Oreochromis niloticus: one gene and its partner. The protein of the gene in region 1 interacts with the protein of each later gene in a pairwise test. Links are inferred from orthologs where the notes say so. Each region holds a gene or a part of one and is shown on either strand. Other genes may lie near its edges. The genes, in order: rcc1l and nme6.

Region 1 (10,573 bases):
TGACACATCTTTCTTTTGTCAGAAACTAGCCTCACAAATCTTTGGAGTAAATTTCTACCAGCAAATTACGACCAGTTAAAACAACATCACAACAAAGCACTCTGCAATTTAGCAAAACACAATAAAAGCCCATTTAAATTAAAAAACAGAAAGAAAAAAAAGATTCTGGCTGGCAACAAAAAGTGGCGAAAAGCCTTTTCACAAATTAGCTTGTTGGAACATCAGTCTGCTAATTTACTGAATGTACCAGAAGACCTTAATGAGCTTTCTGCATGAGCTGTAACAGCTGCCTGATAATGATTCATTTTTGGTTGGCGGTGGGTGGATGATGTAAAAGGACACATGGTGCGACAGGTGGCTGAAAGGTTTCTACAGGGGGACGACATGCTCCGCAGCTTTTTGTGTGTTTGGATTTAGGCTGGTGCGGGAAGCGTGCGTCTCTTACCTCCCTCTCGGTCAGTGAGGACCAGAGAGTGAGCCCGTCCACATGCAACCTGAACCACTCTGGTCTGCAGAGGCTCGACGAGAGGCAGGGCCACCGGCGACGGCTCCAACACGTAGTCGTAGCTCTTATCTACACGAACAGGGCGAGACGACACATGAACAAAAAGCAGTGATACTCCTTAAATAATATTAATATAAACTTGTTAGAGAAACACTGTGAAATGGAATGTGACACATGGAAGAAACACACACTCCGAACATATCCTCGTGCTAACACAAGAAGACCACTCCTCAGCTCTATCCCATAGACTATATGGGATAGATATATACCCTTATAGATACATAAAGGATGGATATAGTTTATGGCAGGTTACCACTTTAGTTTTCCAAATTACACATTACAGCCACTTGGCAGCTTTGACTGACAAATGTAACCCTAGAGAGCCGATTATGGTTGCTGCAATGGTCTTATAACGTAAAAACAGTGACATCACTGTTAAAGAGGGCGTGGGCACTTACTGCAGTATTCGCCACTCAGATCGACCCGATATATTAGCGCCGGTGCAGGAGTAGAAGAACAGAAGCAAAGAAATCTTTAAAAAGCCTCCTCTTTGCTGGCGCTCTTATCACAGGGCACGGTAGGATAGCTTTTATTACCCGTTACTTTCACTGCAATGATCAACTTTTATTTTATTTTAATGCCAAACTGCAAAAGCACCCCCTCACACTGTCTGGATATTTGCATATCATGATTTCATTAGCAAACCGCTGTACTAGGGCCTTGTGCAGGTGTTTGTATGGTTATTGCCGGTGCTGGCACTATTATCTTCCACTTATCCGAAGTCAAGCTGACAACAGGCTAAGCAGGGTATTCTAGACGTCCTTCTCTCTATCCACACTTTCCAGTCCCTTCTGGGGGATTCTGAGGTGTTCCTAGACCAGACGAGATATACAATCGCACCAGCAGGTTGGGGGTCTTCACCCAACTGATGTGCCCAGAAAGCCTCCAAATGAAAGGCTCCATGAGGCTTCCTAATGAACACGCAGGAGTAGCGGCTCTATTCAGGGATCCCTCCAAACATCAGAGCTCGTCAAACTATGACTAATTTCAGCTGCTTACATTCATGGGTGAGGGTTGGGACGTAGATGGACGGGTACATCGAACGCCTCCCCTTCAAGTAGAGCTATCCCTTTACCACAACACTCCGATACCAACGCAAGCTCCACGTTCCGGTCACAATTATGCATAAGATCCCAAGATACCAGCTCCCTTGCTCAAGACAGCCTCTCTTTGGAAATCAGTGGGAGCATTCAATTGATTTCTGGCAGCTTTCAGTGAATGAGAAGCAAAACTGTTGAAGCCAGAAAGTTTTTGGTGACTCTCATGGGGAACATAATTTACAAAATGAACACCATGCTTTATTCAGTAAGTCTTGGAACTAGTGATTGAGACACAAACACATTAGAAGAGTGTCTACTAAGCATTTGGATCATGTGACCCAGTATAACCTATTTAACCTCCAGCATTTGTCTTAACTGGACACCTTAGTTGTGTAAACGTTATCCTAATTTCTGGGGTACTTCTTTGCTCTTCTTTCCACTTCTTTTTGCAGACAGTAGTTGCCCCCTGCTGGCCATTAGAAAGAACACAGGTTTAAGGGACTCTGGCTCTAGTTTGCAGGCCCAGAAGCTATGTCCCTCCTTGCTATACAGTTCACATGTATTCTCTTGTACATCTATTCTTCCCAAAAAACAAACTTCAAAAAAGGCTTTAAACAGTAACATACCAACTGGTGATGGCCATCTTATTTATACAGACAATGCCTAGCATCGCCATCACCTGACGGGTCCAATATCCATTCTTCTTTCACATCCAAAGTTCTTTAAACTATCTTTAAAGAAATAAATAGTTTAGTTTCTGTCTTACGGCGGTCGTGCTGGGTGCGCTGAAAGCCCAACTGAGAATCTTTGTTCAGGCCCATGCCCCACAATTTGGTCACATCTTTGGTTGGAGACGCGATGAGAGTGAAACCGTAACCACAGGCAGCAGAGGAGATCTGCAACAGCAGCAGCAGAAAGCAAGTTTAGCTTTACAAAACTCTCTTAACACATATAAAATGGTTTGTCGACATAGGTATGACTGGCGGCAGCAGTTTACCTGATTTGACTGATATTTTATGAAGTTACACCTAAATAACAATTACTATCTTATACATCTTTAAAAGCTCAACCCATAAGACTCAGACTCTCATAGTGCCGGCAGATTTTACCTGTTCTGCAGTCTCCAAGCGATAAGGAGTAAGCTGGTATTTGCGGGGCTTTTTCCTGCCGCTGTCTGGGACTACAAAGGTAGGGATGCCAAGTGCACCAGTGAAGCTGAAGCCCCAGACAAACACTTTATGGGTTGGCTTTTTGTGCTGGCCGACATACTGGAAGACCGGATCACTGCCACTCTTCTCCTGGGGTCTGGATGCTTTGCTGAGTGTTGCATACCAACAGACTTGAAGGCCTGCTCTCATGTGGCGGGGACACAGTCGCACAGAGGGAAAAGCCATCCTGTAGAAAAAAGCAGGAACAGGGAAAACAATCAAGATGAAGTTGATGTGGTTGTTTAACCCAACTATACTGACATTTAATATTGTAATGATAAGCCACATTAACTGTTCTTTAATTCAAAAAAAAAAAAAATTCTTTACTTTTCCATTTAAATATATCAGACTTTTTAAATTGCCTTTACAAAACAATAAAAATATATTTTTGTTTTATCAAAATGTGCTTTTTTTTTTTTTAAATGTGTAGGGGGAAAAAAAAACCACACTGCCACATTTCATTTACATTTTCTATCAAATTAGATGTTCTGTGGTTTTACAAAACTACGCACACAATACTAGGAGACTTTTAAGTTTTTATATAAAAGGCTAAAGCCTAGCAGTAACTTCGGCATGCACCTGATCCACAGTAGCTTTGATTAAATGTAATTTATGCCTCGGTTAACAATTTAACGTTAGCTATCCCACATTAAAACAGGCGTAATAAGGGACTCGTGAGCATCCATTTTGGGTTAAATTACATTAAAAACAGTTAATACTAAGTCTTCGTAATCAACCCCGATTTGAAAAACGGATTATAAGGATTTGCATAAGGCATTTATGATTAATCTTATCAGATTGTACATCTGACGCTGCGGAAAGGTAGTTAAAATTACGTTAAATTTGAAGGGAGTTTCACCTCGTGTTCTTTCCAACAGCAGCCACTGAGCCGGGGTAAATTTGCCTTCTCTTCCAGTTAGACCCGCATTTTATAATGCTGAGAAACTCACTCGTGCTCTACAGAAATGATGACTTCCAGGTGAAATTATAGGAAAATGTTTCAGGGCCGTTATTCCATGTTTGTTTAGGTTAACTTTCTCCAACCCAGGATGCAGAAGGACGCTCTTCCGTCACGTCTGTTCGCCTTTAAGAATACAACAACAGCGCCGCCTGCTGCCCTGGAGCTCCAAGCGCGCTCTACAGCGAAGGTGAACAGATTAATGAATGGCAGGAAATATGTGTAAATCATTTTAATGCTGTAGCTGGAGATGACCTGAATGACTTATATAACTCTGCCTAGCTGTGTCTACAATAAAACAGCATAATTTATTAGAAGATTTATTGTTTTGACTATAAAATAATACATAACTAAAGCTGTAAAACCTAACAATGGAGTAGATAGATTTGTATAAGTCAAAAGGACTTTGAAAGCCAATCAAGTTTCCACAAATCAAAGTAAGCAATATCAAACAGCCTGGAAAGACACAAAACAACTTCAATAAGAATTGAGAAGAGGAAGAAAAGACTCAAAAGAGATGCAAAATGGCCAAAGACATGCAAAAGATTACAATATGATAGAAATGACACAGATATGACAGAAGTTAGAGAAAACACAAGCAAAATCACTGCAAAGAGAGAAAATGATGCAATCAAAGGAGGGAAGAACAACTATGAAATGCAAAGTGACCATAAAGTAATAAAAAAATGACTGCTGGAAGATGTAAAACATATTCCTTTGAATTAAGCTGGTACTAATCTATATTTAGCTTCTCTGGATCATATTTATATTATGTTGTTCAATATCATTTGTGCCAATCAAATTACATCAACATAGTATTATAATTGTGTCCAGGCTGTCTACACTTTCCTGGCTAATTCAGCACCTGTATATGTGCTCACTGTTAGGAAAGTAGCATAACAATGTGATAGAGTAATAATATCTGTTATAGCTTTACCTTCCTAGCCGATAATCTACTCGGGTGTCAGATTAGAGCTGATCTGTAAGTGGGTTAATGCTGCAGAGCTGTCAGGTGAGCACCCGACCTTCGCCTCACAGGGTATTAACCTGCCGTAGCGGAGGTGAATGAAATGCCTGGAGGGTCACATGTGAAAACTTCTGGCCTCGGTGCTGCTGTGAAAATTTTCTATATGTAACTCACCCACCTGCATCAACCACCTGCCCTCAGAGCGCACACTCCCCTCTTCTGAAATGTTTGGAGGGTTTTCTAACTACCCTGAGTGCAGTTTTATTTACCACTAATTTTAAAATACAAGCATTAGTGACTTAATCATCAATATGTCCATGAAATTAACCATTTTACAGAAGGACATATTGTGGCATCTGCTGTTATGTCAACACAGTATGGACAGAGTCTGCAATGTCCACATCAGCAACGAGGTCTGGTGTGTCATCTGCTCATTACATCACAGATTTTGGCCTCTAATCCTGCAGTATCACACATATCAGTCTGCCTCCTCTAAATTATCCCCATTCTGTTTTTATGTCTGGCATCATGCAAGAGTCTTTATTTTCAATCAGTGTCCTATTTATGTGGAAGGCAGTTTAAAGTGCTGATAAAATGCACAGGATGGCAAAAATTAATAAAAACAGACCAGTGCCCATCGAGATACATATAGAGAAACAACTTTACAGGGAGTAGCAATGCAGCCAGAAAATGCCTGAAGAACACCTAAAAAAAACTCTTGCTCAAAACAACTGGGGACAAAAACGAAAGCACAAAGATCCGTATTGAAAAGTGGGCTCCAAAGTGGCCTGGGTTGGTGATCTTTTTGAATGGGGAAAAATTCTGAAGTATTTTGGGAATTTCACAAAAACCATGACAAATCGCTACCAAAAGTCACATCACACTATTCCCGAATGGGCCGCACGAAATGATGTAACATATGTGGGAGTTTTCTCAAAGCTGTGAGACGAGATTTTAGGCGGAAGAAGAAGAAGAAGAAGAAATTGGATAGGCTCACTTAACTTCAAAGTAAAACATTACTATGTGCAGTTCATTTCTACTAAAAATAGTCCAGGTGTCATAGGAGGAGCTGTAAAGTAAGGAGAGGCTGTGACAGTTTTTTTGTTTTATGCAGGTGGAGCTGTATCTGAAATACTGCCGTTCACATAATTGTACAATTCTACCATCCACCCATCCGAGCATCCACTAAACAGTTCAGTCACTTAACCCGTCTTGCCATTCACACTCACATTCCCCCAGGAAGTTTAGAATCACCAGTTAACCCTGTGCATGTCTTCTTTTTAATTCCAGTTCACGTAAAACCAGATTTGCAACATTTTCACCTTTTTTAAGCTTCATTTTACTTTTAGAGCACAGGCATCATCCCAAACAGGTAAGACTTAAAAATGTTGAGTGATGGATTTAAAGTGGGTAAACAGTGGGGCATAGTATGGGGGGAAACGCTGACATATGGGAGCTAAATTAAAAGACAAACAAAAGACATTTTACAATTAAAGACCAGTGAAATCAGCAGGATTAATTGGACAAAACAGCTTTTAAAAGTCACAAAACCAGTCCAGAGCTCAAAGAGGACTGGTCCTAACTTCAGTTTTGTGTTACTTTACTATGATGCATGTGCTGCTCTGCAGCCTTGTATCACCCGCCCTGTCCAAAAGCAGGTATGTGCAGAGAAGTGGAGGCTGTAATCCTTTAAGAGGATCAAGTCTGACTTCCAGGGGGAAGGGAAACAGGATCCACTAACTGTCCATAGTAGCCTGCACATGGCATATCTGTCATCTTGGCCGAGTGAACATGTGTCCATTAAAAAAAATGCTGAGCTGACAGCACTTTGATGGAGGCTTTATGTGTAAACAGTGATGGAGGCTGAGGCTACCTCAGTGATGGAGTCCATATCTACAAGCATCCTGAACGTGAGGACGACTGAGAGGAGGAGGAGTTAAGGTAAACCACGGCATGACTGTTCTATTTCAGAGTATGGAGACGTACTTTGGTCAACAATACCCAGCAGCCACAGGTGCATTATTGCATAAAATCATTTTATATTAAGGTTGGTTTTGTTTCCAAATCTAGCTCCTTTAAAACCTGCTTGTTACCGATTGGTTAACACAGAGTTTACAGCACACTGTAATGTAGCCGCAGATATGAGGAAATTTCAGTATTTTTATTAATGCACAGACTGACATTTTATATCATGGCACCCATGTTTAGCTGTGTTGTCATTAGTCAGCAGGTATGCCTTTGCTGCTTGGTGCCCACAAGTGTTTTAAAAAAGTGACGTTTTAAAGAAACTGAAATAATTTGTTTTAGACAGTAAGCGTGTCACACTTTAAAGTCAAATTTGAGCTTATTATATCATCACTGTTTCAAATAAGCTTGTTTTCATTAGAGTAAATAACCCATTAACTCTACATGGACCCAGTATCCATCTACATGGTTAACCTAATATTGTATGTAAATATGTTCAAATATAAAATCAATGCTTTACACTTTTGGTGACTTGTTCTTAAATGCAGTCTCATGTAAAAGACCTCAGATGTGTCTGTTCTTCCCAAACACACAGCCATGCCGATGCTGGAGGTCATCTGCAGCCTGATTGGTTGGCTGTGTCTCTACTTCTTGTTCGTCTGCACCTTCACTCAGCGGGGACCCGAGTGGAACTGTCGCCTGGTCACGTTGTCCCACGGCGTCCTCATAGTGCTGCTCACAGCCTACGTTGTTTTCGTAGACGGACCCTGGCCCTTCACGCATGCAGGTCAGTGGATCAATAAACATGTTACCAATGCAGTTACAAAGTATAGTTAGTAATTTAATTTAATTTAATTTAATTTAATTTAATTTAATTTAATTATGCTCTCTTTCTGGTCATGGTGTGATGTAAATTCAGAATGGTGCTAATTATAGCCGTCTACTGTCCTCACTGAGAGTTAACAGGATCAGCAGCATGGTGCTGATGTTCAGCATATTTTAAAATTTAATGAAAAGTAAAGTACAAATCAGTTTGGTGGGTAATGGAGGTGAAACACATCCACGGTCTGCATTAAATGAACCAATAAGTCGGTTAATTAATCACTGAGTGAAAGGATTAATGTAATTAGTCCATGAATGAATCAATATAAGCACAGAGTTTTAATCTGTTTGTGAATTAAAGACAGTTTTTCAAAAAATGTACAAATGATTATGATTGAATTTAGGTCGGTATAATAAATTAAAATAAAAGTACATAAAAATAGCTGTACCAGGATGGTACATGTGGTAGGGCAAAGGATGCTGAAGATGGAGGTACCAGGCAGGAGGTTAAGAGGAAAAGCACAACAGAACTTCTGGTGCAACAGAAGCTAGGGACTGGGTAAGATGGAGGCAGATGATTCTCTGTGGTGGCCCGTAAAGGGAACATCCAAAAGATGAAGACAGTAAAGAACCAAGCAGTCAAAAACCTGCAGGTACAGGTGTAATTTTCCAAAAAGTGGGTTTTATGGTACCGAAAAAGACAAAGAAATATATCAAAACCACAAACAAATGTAAGTAGGTTATTTTAAGACATACGTGGGCCCATAAAAAGAGGTCAGCTAAACAGGATCCACTCAAAAATACTGCTAACCAAAAAACCCTGACTTATCCAAATGAGCACAATTCAAACTATGATTTCATTCTCATAAGTATTGAGCCTCCAAACCCGAGATCTCTTGATACAGCTTTAAATATAAGGACTCCTTCCACTGAAGCATCTCTTCAGTAATAATCTCAAAGCTTTATAGGCGACTTCATTATAAACCAGCTTTTTACAGTTTGCCTTTAAGTGTGCAGTATACAGAGATCCACGGTATGCTTTAAACACCTTCACGTTATTTCTCCAAGCACTAAATTTGCATTAAAGAATTTTTTCATGTGCATGTATCACACAGCATTGCATGCAAATATCTTTATCATACAGCATTTATTCTGTTATTAGGAATCTAAGATAAAACCACCAACCACTTCACCTTCCCTGTGGTGGGGCTGAGCATGCAAGGAAACCAGCAATAAATTAAGGAAATAAGGATGCAGCATTTTTGGAGGGGTCTTTTTGGTTAATTGTGTTGGTTTTGCAAGCAAGCAGACAAAGTTAGCAGCTATCTTGTGAACATAGTGGATCATTTAGCAGCTAAACAATCACATGTGTTTCTTAGGAGTTGATGGAAATGAAAACAAAGCTAAAAAAAATTTAATTAAAGTGAATATTGAACATTTTTTCCTTTTAGGTGGACACATTCATGACTTTAAATGAATGCTAATGCTACTCTTTGTCTCTTATATATGTGCAGCTCCAAGTGTTTGCTAACCTATTGGCCTTCAGCTAGTTGAGGTGGTTTCTCTGACCAATAAAGAAAATACTAAATACAGATGACCTTCTTCTTATCCATCCACCAGGTACAGAAAACACAGAGCTCCAGAGCTTCGCCCTGGCTGTGTGCCTCGGCTACTTCTTCTTCGACATGGGTTGGTGTGTATGCTACCACACGGAGGGCCCCGTCATGCTTGCACATCATGCTGCCAGTATTGCAGGCATCCTGCTGGCTTTACTGATGGGAGTCTCAGGCTGTGAAACCTGCGGGGTCATCTTTGGCAGCGAGATCACCAATCCCCTGCTGCAGACCCGCTGGTTCCTCCGCCAGGTGGGCCTGTACGACAGCCTGCTGGGCGACGCGGTGGACCTGCTTTTTATTTTACTGTTTGCCACTGTTCGCGTGGGAGTCGGCACGGTGATGTTTTACTGCGAGCTCACCTCTCCTAGGACTTCACTGATAATGAAGCTTGGTGGAGTGGTTATGTATGGGCTGGCGTGGGTGTTCATGGTTGACATAGCCAGATTTGGCTACAAGAAAAGCAAGGCTAAGTATAAAAGGTGGATAGAGAACCACAAACTCAAAGACGTGGACAGACAAAAGGTGGGTGGACATTCAGACAAGAGTGAATGAAAAGCTAATGTTCTGTTTAAGGGCTTCAAAAGCTCTAAAGGTGCTATGTATAGCATGAGAATAATAAAAGATTACTAAATATTTTTAATATGCTGTATATTATGAGTCCCCAAATCAAAGAGAAAAGTTATGTATGCGTATCATGAGCACGCTCTAACCTTGTTTTAAAATGCCATGGGCTGCTTCATAGAAAAAGGTTTAAGTTGTATTAGCAACAGTCAGTAGTCTAAATGTCTGAGGTTTTTGCACCCTTACCCAAAAAGTACCAGCAAATTTATAGTGATGGAACAAAACATTCATAGCACAGAATGTCCTGGAGTATTACTACAGAAATCATCCGAGCAGAAACTCCATGATAGCTACACGGTGGGACTCTATACAGGGGTGCCTCCAGATTTTTATCATAGGGGTGGCCATATGGGGGCCACTAAAAAATAGGCTACTTGAAAAATATGGCGAAAGAAAAGAATTATATGCCTATTTAATTTCCTGCAATTAAAATTTATATAACTGAAAATAGGTACATATGAAAACAAAATAAGATTTTGAAATCTATACTAAAGCTGTTTTAATTGATTGATTGATTGATTCATTTACTGGAAGTCCCAACCATCACTTTAATGATTCTCAGCACAGCCTAGCAGAAGCAGCTTAAGATTCATTCTCACAGAGTAGAGTTAACTCTAAGAGCAAACTTGTTCAGGAAAACAAGTCAGTGTTGGATCATGTAAGAGTGTGAACTGTTGTCTGTCTCTATGCTGGCCCTGAGATGCAACAGGATCTGTCCAGTCCTGCATCTGTCCAGGGATTGGCACCAGCTTTTCTGCAGCCTGATATGGATCAAATACCTGTAAATAATATGGTAAACAAATACTATCAG
Region 2 (10,479 bases), on another chromosome or scaffold:
GGAGGTGGTGGGAGGTGGGGGGGGTGGGGGGGGGGGTGGAGGGTTGACAAATAACTTAATAACGTCATAAGAAATAACTTAGAAGTAAGACTAAAACTGTGATTTGAGATGGTAAAGAATGGCATCATGGCAACAGATAATAGCTTAAAGTGTCTAAAAACATTTGCACACATTTTTTTATGTATTCTAAAGGCACACTAAAAAGATTAGGAGCTGGCCTAGTTGAAAAAGCAATAGTGAGCTGCTTAATCCTGACAATGGTAAGACAGTACTGTGCTGCTGACTCATTACGTGGTCTGATATTAATGGCGCTCTCTGTCCTTCCCTGGGCACAGCAGTTGCCAGCATCGAGGTTGACACAGCTGCCAAAGGAAGCCCGGTCCGTGTGGTGAAGCAATGGAGCAGAAAGGTCAAAGGTCAGCAGCATTTATGCTGAAAGAGAGAACAGGTGATGGAGAGGTGAAGGAAACTCGCCCACATGACTCAAGGAGAGGACAGAAGGATTTAAACGGATACTCTGAGGCTGTGAGATTTAGGACTGAGGAAATGCAGCAGTTGGTGACATCAGTGTCTTTATTGTTTGGTGTTTGGTTAGAAAACAGCAAACAGTTTTCATTTCATTTCACCAACACAGAGAAAAAAGCTTGTTATTAATGTGGCACCCTAAGTAATTCAATTCAAGTCAGTTTTATTTATATGGCACCAAATCACAACAGCAGTTGCCTCGAGGTGCTTGGGATTGGGCTTCGGTCTGTTACTGAAGCCACCCAAAGGTGCCAAAACAGGAAACACATCCCACACTTTTCTCACCAGCCCGACAGTTAGGACATGAAAGGGTTCTGGGTGTTACACTGGAGCCTGTGTCACCCTAGAAGGGCCTACTGAGGTGACACGTGAGGTCTGATTTTGGACGATAGCAGGGGACAAATTAAGTACAATTTTATTAAACGATCATATTCACCGTGCTATTGTGCCAAAGCATGGTATGATGTTTTGGGAGCTCAATTACATAATGGCAATGACAGGCTGAAATGACTTCGCAGGCAGGCATATCTAACTGCTAATATTAAAAATCATAGCATCTATTATACAGTGCTTAAAATGTCTATTAGATCACCACCCAATTTAAGGTTTATGCCACAGTTTTCCTAATTAATAGTATTAGTAATTACTTAAATAATTTTTTTGAATGTTTCTGTAAAGGTTTAATCCACCAGTATGTGCCAGCTCTTTAATCAAAATGATGTGTTGAGTGCTAAAATGTAACTATTGTTGTTAACCACGAATTTTCAAATTGACTGTTTGACAAAATTTTTTTAGTTTTTGATTAAGATGCCAAATTATATTTATTTATTTGCATTCCTGAACAGAAAAATCTGTTTTAGGGGTTTCTGAAAAACATGATTTCAGGTTTTAATTCTGCCTAATAAATACAACTATGATTTTTTTAAACAAGTTTTTATCATACTTGGTCTAATACATTTGTTAAACACTGTCATATAGAGTAAGAGTCTTTCAAATAATAACTGGATCACATTGTGAATGTTTCTTGTCATAGAAACCAATACCTGAAGGCGAAAAGTATGTGACACCATACATCCTCCTGTGTATCGATATACAGTATGTGTGTATATAAATAGTGAAGCAAACTGTAGATCCATATTAAGATACCGATTACTGCGGTCAAAAGGGGCAGTTTCATTTTCACTGTAGTAAATCAGATGGAATTTTTACTAAATGCCTCACTGTAGAGGATAATAAAGGGTAAGATATTAAACTGTTTCTTGTTTAGGCTCATTATTTCCTCGTGAAATTTCCTAAACTGAACCATTCAGTTTGGATAAGGTTTAACAACATTGTTTAAAGGTGATTTTATAATAAAGGATTTTTTCTCATCTGAAGACAAACCTGACTTGTTTTCTTTTTTATTAATGTTCAACTTCCAAAGAGTTCAGTGGAATTGATTCTTTTCAGGGAATAACGATTGGCATATTACACATTCCTTTCCTGAGCCTTCTTGTGCATGTACAGCTGTCAATGCCTTCCTGTAACACAAGCAAACTTACAGTATTTTATACTGTAAGTACCAGTCAAACAAAGAAAATGTTATTTATGAGGCAACATGTGTGAGCTATTACAGAGACAGCAGACATATAACTATGTTGTGTATGTAATACATATTTAGTTTATTTTAATATTTATTTAAAACAACATATGCATTATTGTTGATAAAACAACCAAGTCTTTCAGAGGAACAGAAATCATCAAGTGCATGAATTAAAACCATTAAAAAAAAGGACTTGATATAAAAATGACACAGCCTAAAAATTAAAAGAATAACAGGATAATAATTAAAACCAGCAAGAGGGCAGTAAAAATATAACACATTTAGTTTAAAACCAATAAAATAAGCAGACATTCAATCAATCAATCAATAACTGACACTCTTTTTAAACAGTGTAACTACATAAAGATACTGTGCACATTTCCATCACAGTTGGTCATGACAAAAGCTCCGTTTTTCCTCACATTAAACATTCCTCCCTAACATGTTTTCACGTGATACTTTGCGGTGGCTCCTGGCAAAAGAATGAGCAGCCTATGGACACCCAAGCACCCATGGGGGTCGTGAGTAAGTCAGTTGTCAGTTGACTCCCACCAAAAGGGAATGACAACTGCATGAGAGCCAGAAGCAAGGGAAGGAAGAGAAGCAAGAGAAGCAACAGCAGCAGGGGCACGGAGATGAAACAGAGATGAGTTTTATGGTGGTCAACGAGTGGAGGATCAGCTGAATCAGCCGACCAGCTGAGAACGCTTGAAGTGAGAGTCAGCAGTGAGCATCAATGATGCCTGATGCTGATGGACACTTGGACAGAATGCTGATGATTCTGTCCAAGTGTTGTGCTCTACCCTCTAAAAACTGCTTTTCAGGAAGTTTGGTGTACTTTTCAGTGACTGCTCCTCAATACATCATCTGCAGAGATGCTGAGCGGACACAGCTAGAATTGGAAGGAGCCCTTTGTAGGAAAAAAAAAGAGCCTTTAACATTAACATGTAACAAGTTATTTCATATTAAGGCAATAACAATTTCAAGATTAAAACAAACACTATTTTTTAACACTTCTGAGCAGTTTTTGTATATAAATGGCAACAATATATTATTTTTACCATTCCAAATTGCAATTATGATAGTCTGGCTTAAAAAGAAATACAAGAATGACTGATGTTTAAAAAAAAGTTTAATATTTAAAAACTATGTTTCCTGGAAAAGACGCTGGTGTTGTGTAAATTTAATGCTGCTTATATTAAATGGATAGTATGAAGCTCGCAGTATCTCCATAACCAGACAGTTCAGCCATATCAACTAATTTGGGGGATGTGAGGTCCTAAAAGTATTTCAGGTTTTCCCATCGATTGAAATGTTGCCAGTTCCCTAAAAAGTGGTTTTCTACTGTAGTCAACTGTTGACTGCTGGAAACCAGATAATAAAATTCTTGCTGGTGTTAAATGTGCACTTATTAGTACAAGATCAAAGGGCGACTAGGGTACTTTTGCATGTAAAACTGAGCTACCCTTACATGTATTGACTCCTTCCACTTGTAATACTTGCTAATATGGTGCTGACTGCCAATGTGATTATTAAATTTTGCTGATTAAAAATGTACAGGATATCTGTGTAAGCATGGCTGAACAGCTACATTTTATCCTGTCATGTTAAGCTTTGATTTGATATCATGATGCCTTAGACCAGGGATGCCACACTCATTTTACATTGAGGGTTACTTTGATATTAAGTGGGCCAGAGGAGTGAAACTGCACTTTCTGTCAGTGTAAAGACATTTAGCGACATATTTAATCCCAGAGATATCTTGATATGAGATGAAGTGTAATTTCAACAGCACATCTCAGTTTCTATACATGATCAATTTTCTTGTAGCTCACTGCTCAGACTGTCCTATATTTATAATACATAAAGTTTTTTGTTGATTGATGAAATTTCTATAATCCACAATGAAAAACATAAACTCTTCTGTCATTTTATTGTTTATCTATTACATATCTACTTTAGTGTAGTATGAAAGCTTCCAGGGGAGAGCTTTATCAGCAGGAAAAAGCTGTAAAACCTATTAAAATATAGTTAAAAGTACAAAAGTTAATGCACTTGTTCATATTTTCCAAAGTCATCGAATGGGCCCAACTGGAATCTTCGCTGAGCGGATTTTGACCCTCACACCTTACGTTTGACACCCTACCTTAGACAAATTCATAAGTGTAAAAAATACAAAATAACCTGTATTTTGTGTCACTCAGCAACAGTATTTCATTTCCAATTTATTTACAGCAAAGCAAATGATCATAAAATAGCACAACACCCTCACATAACTTTCATATCCAAGATTCTTTTCTCTCACGTCTTCCTAACGATTGAGTTGAACGCCTTTATTGTCAGTGGAAGATGTGTATGTATATGTATGGATTGTAAAGCCAATAAAAACACAAAAACTACAGGTTACATAGAATTTGGGTCTTCAGTCTGTACTCTTAAAATATATCCAATTTAACTCTGCACCTCTTCTTATCCTCTTCAGCCCTCTCATGGGAGGTAACAGCTGTCCTGTCACCCCAAGTCACATGACATGGGCAGGTGGGCGAAACCTATGTGGGACATCTAACTACCCTCCTCCCCCCCATTCTGTCTCTCTGAATGTCAGACACACACACACACACACACACACACACACACACACACACACACACACACACACACACACACACAATCTCTACTCTTCAAGGGTGTGGCCATTTTGCATTGCTGGAATGTGCTCTGTGTTTGTAATTCATACTGTATGTCTGATCTGCCCCAGTGTTGAAATACCAGAGACAAAAATCTGTCTCGTTCCAGTCCCTGCTTGTAGCCGGTGTGCTGCTGAACTCGACGTCTCGGTTTTATGTTCAAACATTCTCGCTCACTTTGATGTGCTGGGAAATTTCTCTATATCGATCGTCTATATCACATACTTGGAACTGCTACTCCTTTGCTGATAATTTGATCTTTGTGACATGGAGTGTTATTTCTACATTAACAATACTCAGGCATGCTGTGGCTTTTTTGCAATGCTTAGTTGGTACTAAAGTGTTCCAAGAAAATATCTCCCACATCATTATACTGTTTACACTGAACAGTTCATATAAAGAATTATGGATCCATGCTTTTGTGTTATTTACATCAAATTCTGACACTGCCTTCTGACCAGGTGACATTTTTTCATTTTTCTATTGTCCAGTTTGGTTGAGCCTGTTAGAATTGCAGCTGCAATTTCCTATTCTCAGCTGACAGGAGTGTACCCGGTGCGGTCTTCTGCTGCTCTAGGTCATCTGTTTCAGATTTCAATGTGTTGTGTGTTCAGATCTTCGGCAGATCTTGGTTGTAACAAGTGGTGATTTGATTACTGTTGCCTTCCTAACAGCTCGAAGCAGTCCAGTCATTCTCTTCTATTCTGAAATCAATGAGCTATTTTTACAGAGAGAATTACTGCTCTATTGCTGCTTCAATAGAGCACCTTTGAATAATGTCTCTTTTTAAGACCATCTTCTTTAAACCCTAGAGATGGCTGTGTGGGACAATCCCAGTATATCAGAGCAGCCCGTCTCGCACCAACACTCATGCTACATTCAAGAATTATGGATCCATGCTTTTGTGTTATTTACATCAAATTCTGACACTGACTTCTGGCCAGGCGACATTTTTCCATTTTTCTAGCGCTCCCATACGGGAACAATAGGAAAGTATTTGTCTCATTCCAGTGCCAAATGCAATAATAAGTGCAGTATACCAGTACTTACGTGTAGTTACGTTCCTATTCTACCTACATGTTATTGTGGAAATCAAGAAAAATAATTCCAAAAAGCTTCTATTAGAACTAAAGTTTATAAGACATGAAATCTCTGTTTTTTCTTCTTCTTCTCGCGGGGGAACAAACTCTGCGGGCACTGTTTCTGGGGACCCTTTTTACGAACGGACAGACCAAGCACCGACTCGTTCAGCTAATTTTCACATTTTAAGCGTTGTTTTTGGTGTAATTGGACGAGCAAGGATGCAGACTATATTCACACCTACAGTTTAGATAACCGCTAACTCAACAAAGTTAAGCGTTTTTATTTGCAACAGTATTTGCACAGCGTTTTTATTTAACAGTATGTCGGCGGCTGTTGCTCTGCTCCCCTTTACAAACTGATTGTTGTTTCTTTTTTTGGACAGAAGTCACAACAGAGGTTAGTATCAGTCACGAACTCAGCACTGACGTGTTGGAAACTGTGTCACGCAGAAAAAGTTCGTATTTTTTTAAATTAATTTTATATGATTTATATTAATGGTAAATTAACGATAAAAAAAAATCGAAAAAGAAGTCGCATCTTCGTTGCTTGTGGTGTTTGTTTTGTATTAATTTAACTAAAAATTTAAGTACTTTAGGCGAGTTGGATCTTATCATTGAGGGCGTATTTTCTGTTCAGTCTTTAGATAATGTTGCTGACAAGTGCTCGCCTGTCCAAAGTGCTGCAGCTCACCCTGGCGGTCATCAAACCAGATGCTGTGGCTCATCCTTTGATGCTAGAGGTGAGCTGCCCTCATGTTTCTTTTAAGTTACAGAATTTAAGACCTAAGATTACACAGCTTAAGTGGTAGTCTGAAAGCTATTCCCAGTTACTCACAGATCAAAAAACTAAACTATCACTTCCTCGTGGCACAGATTCAACAAGGTGCTGCAAACATTCCTCTGAGATTTTGGTTGATATTGACATAATGGCATCACACAGTTGCTGCAGATTTGTTGGCTGTACATTCATGATGAGACTCTCTTGTTCCCCCACATTCCAAAGGTTCTCTCTTGGATTGAGCTCTGGTGACTGGCCATTTGAGTGCAGTGATCTCATTATCTATGTTCAAGAAACCAGTTTGAGATATTTTGAGCTTCCTGAGAGTTGTAATACTCAGACAGGCGGTGGCATTTAAGTGTTGCTCAATTGGTACTAAAAGTGTTCCAATAAAATCTCCCTCATTACACCACCACCATCAGCCTAAACTATGCATACAAGGCAGGATGTATCCATTCGTTCATGTTGTTTACACCAAATTCTGACTCTACCATCCAAGTGTTACAGTAGAAATGGAGACTCATCAGCACCTGATAACATTTTCCACTCTTCTGTTGTCCAGTTCAGGTGAGACTGTGTGAATTGTGGAATCAGTTTCCTGTTCTGGGCTGACAGGGCTGGCACTGATGTGTTTTCTTTTTGCTTGTGTAGCCAATTTGCTTCAAGGTTCAACATGTTGTGAAATTCTCTTGTGCAGACCTTTGTTGTAATGGGCGATTGTTTGAGTCACTGTTGTCTTCCTATTAGCTCAAAGCAGTCTGGCCATCCTCCTCTGACCTCAGGCCCCAACAAGTAGATCATCGGTTTCTGAAATACATCTATTCTGACTGTCTGTTTGTAGTTCAGCAGGTTGTTTTCATCATGTCTACATGTCTAAAAGCATTAACTTGCTGCCATTTGATTGGCTGGTTTGATGAATGAGCAGATGAACAGTTGTACCCAATAAAATGACCAGTGAATGTTATTTTCACTTTTCCAGATTTCAAACATTTGTTGCTCTTTCTCAGGGCATTACAGTTTGCATGGTGTGGTTTAAATACTGTTCCTTATTTGTTTAATCTGTAAAGATTAGTTTTTGGAATTAATGAAGCATAAATGAACACATCTTTCTATTTAATTATGTTTTTTTTTTTAACCCACTGTCAAATAAAACAGCAATTAATTAATTGATGTTATCTGTTCTGATATCAATTTAATTGAGTAGTAAAGAATCGGCATTTGCTCACTTCACAGACCTGGAGGCTTCAAAATCATAGCAGCTGTGTCTATCATAAAATATTCCATCAGTGATAGGTTTAATTTCACTTGTTAATGTGCATTACTTTATTATCATCTCAATTTAAAGAATAAGAGGATGACCTTTTGAATCAGAGCTGTCAATTTTTACCCTTTTCTCTGCAAAAAAATCTACCCACAGTAGGAAAAAGCATATAAAGTTGATCCAGTCATGTTTTGATGCAACTTGGAGGACAAACATGATGATTTCTATATTTCAGGCTCTTCACCAGTTAATTCTAGACAACAACTTTGGGATTGTTAGATGCAAAGATCTGGTCTGGAGACGACAGGACTCTGAGAGGTTTTATGCTGAACATTCAGGTTTGGAAATATTTCATTTGTGTTTAAGCTTTACTTAAATGAGAGAAGTACTGCTGTGGTATATGATGTAACCAAATAAATGAGTCAGCAGCCTATTTTAACAGGGTGCACTGTATGCATGACTGTTAAAAGAAATAAATGTCTTGTCAAATGAAGGATAGCTGTTTTCTCCTTTTTGTTATTGAAGGTCTTTATTTTCTGTTTTACAAATCTCAGGGAGATTCTTCTATCAAAGACTTGTTGAATTCATGTCAAGGTAAGCCTCCATGCTTATATCATGGACACATTTCTTTGACTCCATGTGATTGAGTTACGATTTTATATGTTTGGATGATTGTTGTTGGGTGTTGTATTTTAAATGGAATAATGGATGGAGAGCCATCAGCACCTCCGCTGGTAGTACTCCAATTTCATGCTCAGTAAGGCACCAGTAAACGATTTTCCCAAAACAGCACAACAGGAGTTTCAGTTATCCGTGTTTAGAACACAATTCCCTGGTGCAGTAGCCTAAATATCGCTATGCAGACCACTCACAATACGTCCTCCTGCTGCGAGCCTCAATGGGATTGGTAAAGGTCTTTGTAATTACTTTGTCTTTTTTTTCTCTGCTCACAGCAGTGAAGCAGTAGTTGCTACAGCAACCCTTCTCTGACTGCTGCTATTGATATCGCAAACATAGGAAGCATCTTCAAGTGTGTCAGCCAGTCAAGCTTGATGCCGCACCAGCTGGCATTGTTTAGCTAAAATGGATTTATTTATGGCCGAACTGTCTTCCCAGGAGGTCCTGGGGGCGAATAGATTAGATTTGTATGAAGAGTGGTTTTTTGGTCTGCTATCTAGAAAACATCAGCAATGTTCAAAGTCAAATTCATGACTGCTGTTGAAATTTGTCTGCAGTGGGCCAATGCGAGCGTACATTTTAGCCAGGAAGGATGCCATAAGCCACTGGAGAGAACTGATGGGGCCGACCAAAGTGTTCAGAGCCAGATTCAACTCGCCTGCTTCTATCAGGGGCCAGTTTGGACTCACAGACACAAGGAACACAACTCATGGCTCAGGTAAAAAAGCTCCCAAGCTCCATAATGCTAAAAAAAATTATATGTGTAATGTTAATAATCTATTATTGTGAATATATTATCTTAAACATATGCAAGAGGACATAACTCCTGCGGTTACCAGGTTTACACATCACTAAATTTCACATCTTTTAAAGCCCATCAGTTTCTATAATGGTGTTTGGAGTCATTGGGCAGAAAACAAAATAGTGCAAAACTGTGCAAAACACCTCTTTTCTTTTTGTTTCACTGGAAAATTGGGAAATGGGTGCAATGATTTATTGAAACGTGCAAACATGCATGAAAATATAAGGCAAAAACAGCTTTCTGTAGTTTCAGGAATAGTTCTCCAGGCTTTTTCAAGGACATTCAAAGCTTTTCTTCAGATGTTGGGCTGCTTTTTTCAGTCCTGTGTCAAGATGATCACACACTGCTTCAGTAATGTCGAGTTCTGGGCTCTGGTTCCATTGTGCCCCACTGGCATGCTTTTACTGCATTGACAGTGTGTTTGGGTCATTGTCATGCTCAAAAAATGAAGCTATTGCCAGTCGGATGCTTTCAACATAGTATTGCATGGTGGATCAAAATGTGACTGTACTTTTCTGTGTTCGTAATTCCATCAATTTTGACAAGACCTCCAACACCACTGACTGAAATATAGCCCTAAACCATGACAGAGCCTCCACTGTGTTTTACAGATGGCTGTATACACTCACTGTTGTACCTCTCTCCTGACCTCCTCTGTACACACTGATGTCAGCTTGAAGCAAATATTTTGAATTTGGATTCTTCACTCAGTCAGTCCTTAAATTTTTAGACCAATTAAAAAGAAGCCTGTTATTACTATGCTAATTTTTGATTTTCCATTCTGTTATTGTTTTCTGTAGATTCTCTTGAGTCGGCTCAAAGAGAGATTACTTTCTTCTTCCCAGACTTCTGTGCAGACGAGTGGATGAAAAAGGAGGAGCCATTGTTTAGATCAGGGCAGATACGTTATGACCATCAAAACCAGATTCACACACTTTCATTGTCAAGCTGACACCAGATCAGCTCAACACTGGCAACATCATCAGTATAAAGACTATTACTATTACTGTTTATCTATTGCTCACATGTACACAGAGGTACCTCAGCTGAAGGCCACACGATTACCTGATTGTCTTTGAGCATG

Evidence for each region.
Region 2: the proteins of rcc1l (region 1) and nme6 interact in binary tests that used the Homo sapiens proteins (3 or more experiments, as listed by UniProt). The link is inferred for Oreochromis niloticus from reciprocal best matches to the Homo sapiens genes RCC1L and NME6.

Annotation. Positions count from the first base shown.
Region 1 is NC_031975.2:26,828,793-26,839,365, reverse strand, and holds the start of rcc1l (RCC1-like G exchanging factor-like protein), read right to left. Parts: upstream 3,883-10,573; 5' UTR 3,673-3,882; intron 3,001-3,672; 5' UTR 3,000-3,000; coding exon 2,715-2,999; intron 2,502-2,714; coding exon 2,372-2,501; intron 575-2,371; coding exon 446-574; intron 1-445. Other genes in the region: transmembrane protein 136, read left to right, coding at 7,301-7,490, 9,146-9,693. UniProt on the Homo sapiens protein: Guanine nucleotide exchange factor (GEF) for mitochondrial dynamin-related GTPase OPA1. Activates OPA1, by exchanging bound GDP for free GTP, and drives OPA1 and MFN1-dependent mitochondrial fusion. Plays an essential role in mitochondrial ribosome biogenesis.
Region 2 is NC_031980.2:8,809,447-8,819,925, forward strand, and holds the start of nme6 (nucleoside diphosphate kinase 6), read left to right. Parts: upstream 1-5,967; 5' UTR 5,968-6,273; intron 6,274-6,513; 5' UTR 6,514-6,523; coding exon 6,524-6,616; intron 6,617-8,150; coding exon 8,151-8,253; intron 8,254-8,469; coding exon 8,470-8,509; intron 8,510-9,150; coding exon 9,151-9,311; intron 9,312-10,006; coding exon of another isoform or gene 10,007-10,062; exon of another isoform or gene 10,063-10,105; intron 10,106-10,195; coding exon 10,196-10,347; 3' UTR 10,348-10,479. UniProt on the Homo sapiens protein: Major role in the synthesis of nucleoside triphosphates other than ATP. The ATP gamma phosphate is transferred to the NDP beta phosphate via a ping-pong mechanism, using a phosphorylated active-site intermediate. Inhibitor of p53-induced apoptosis.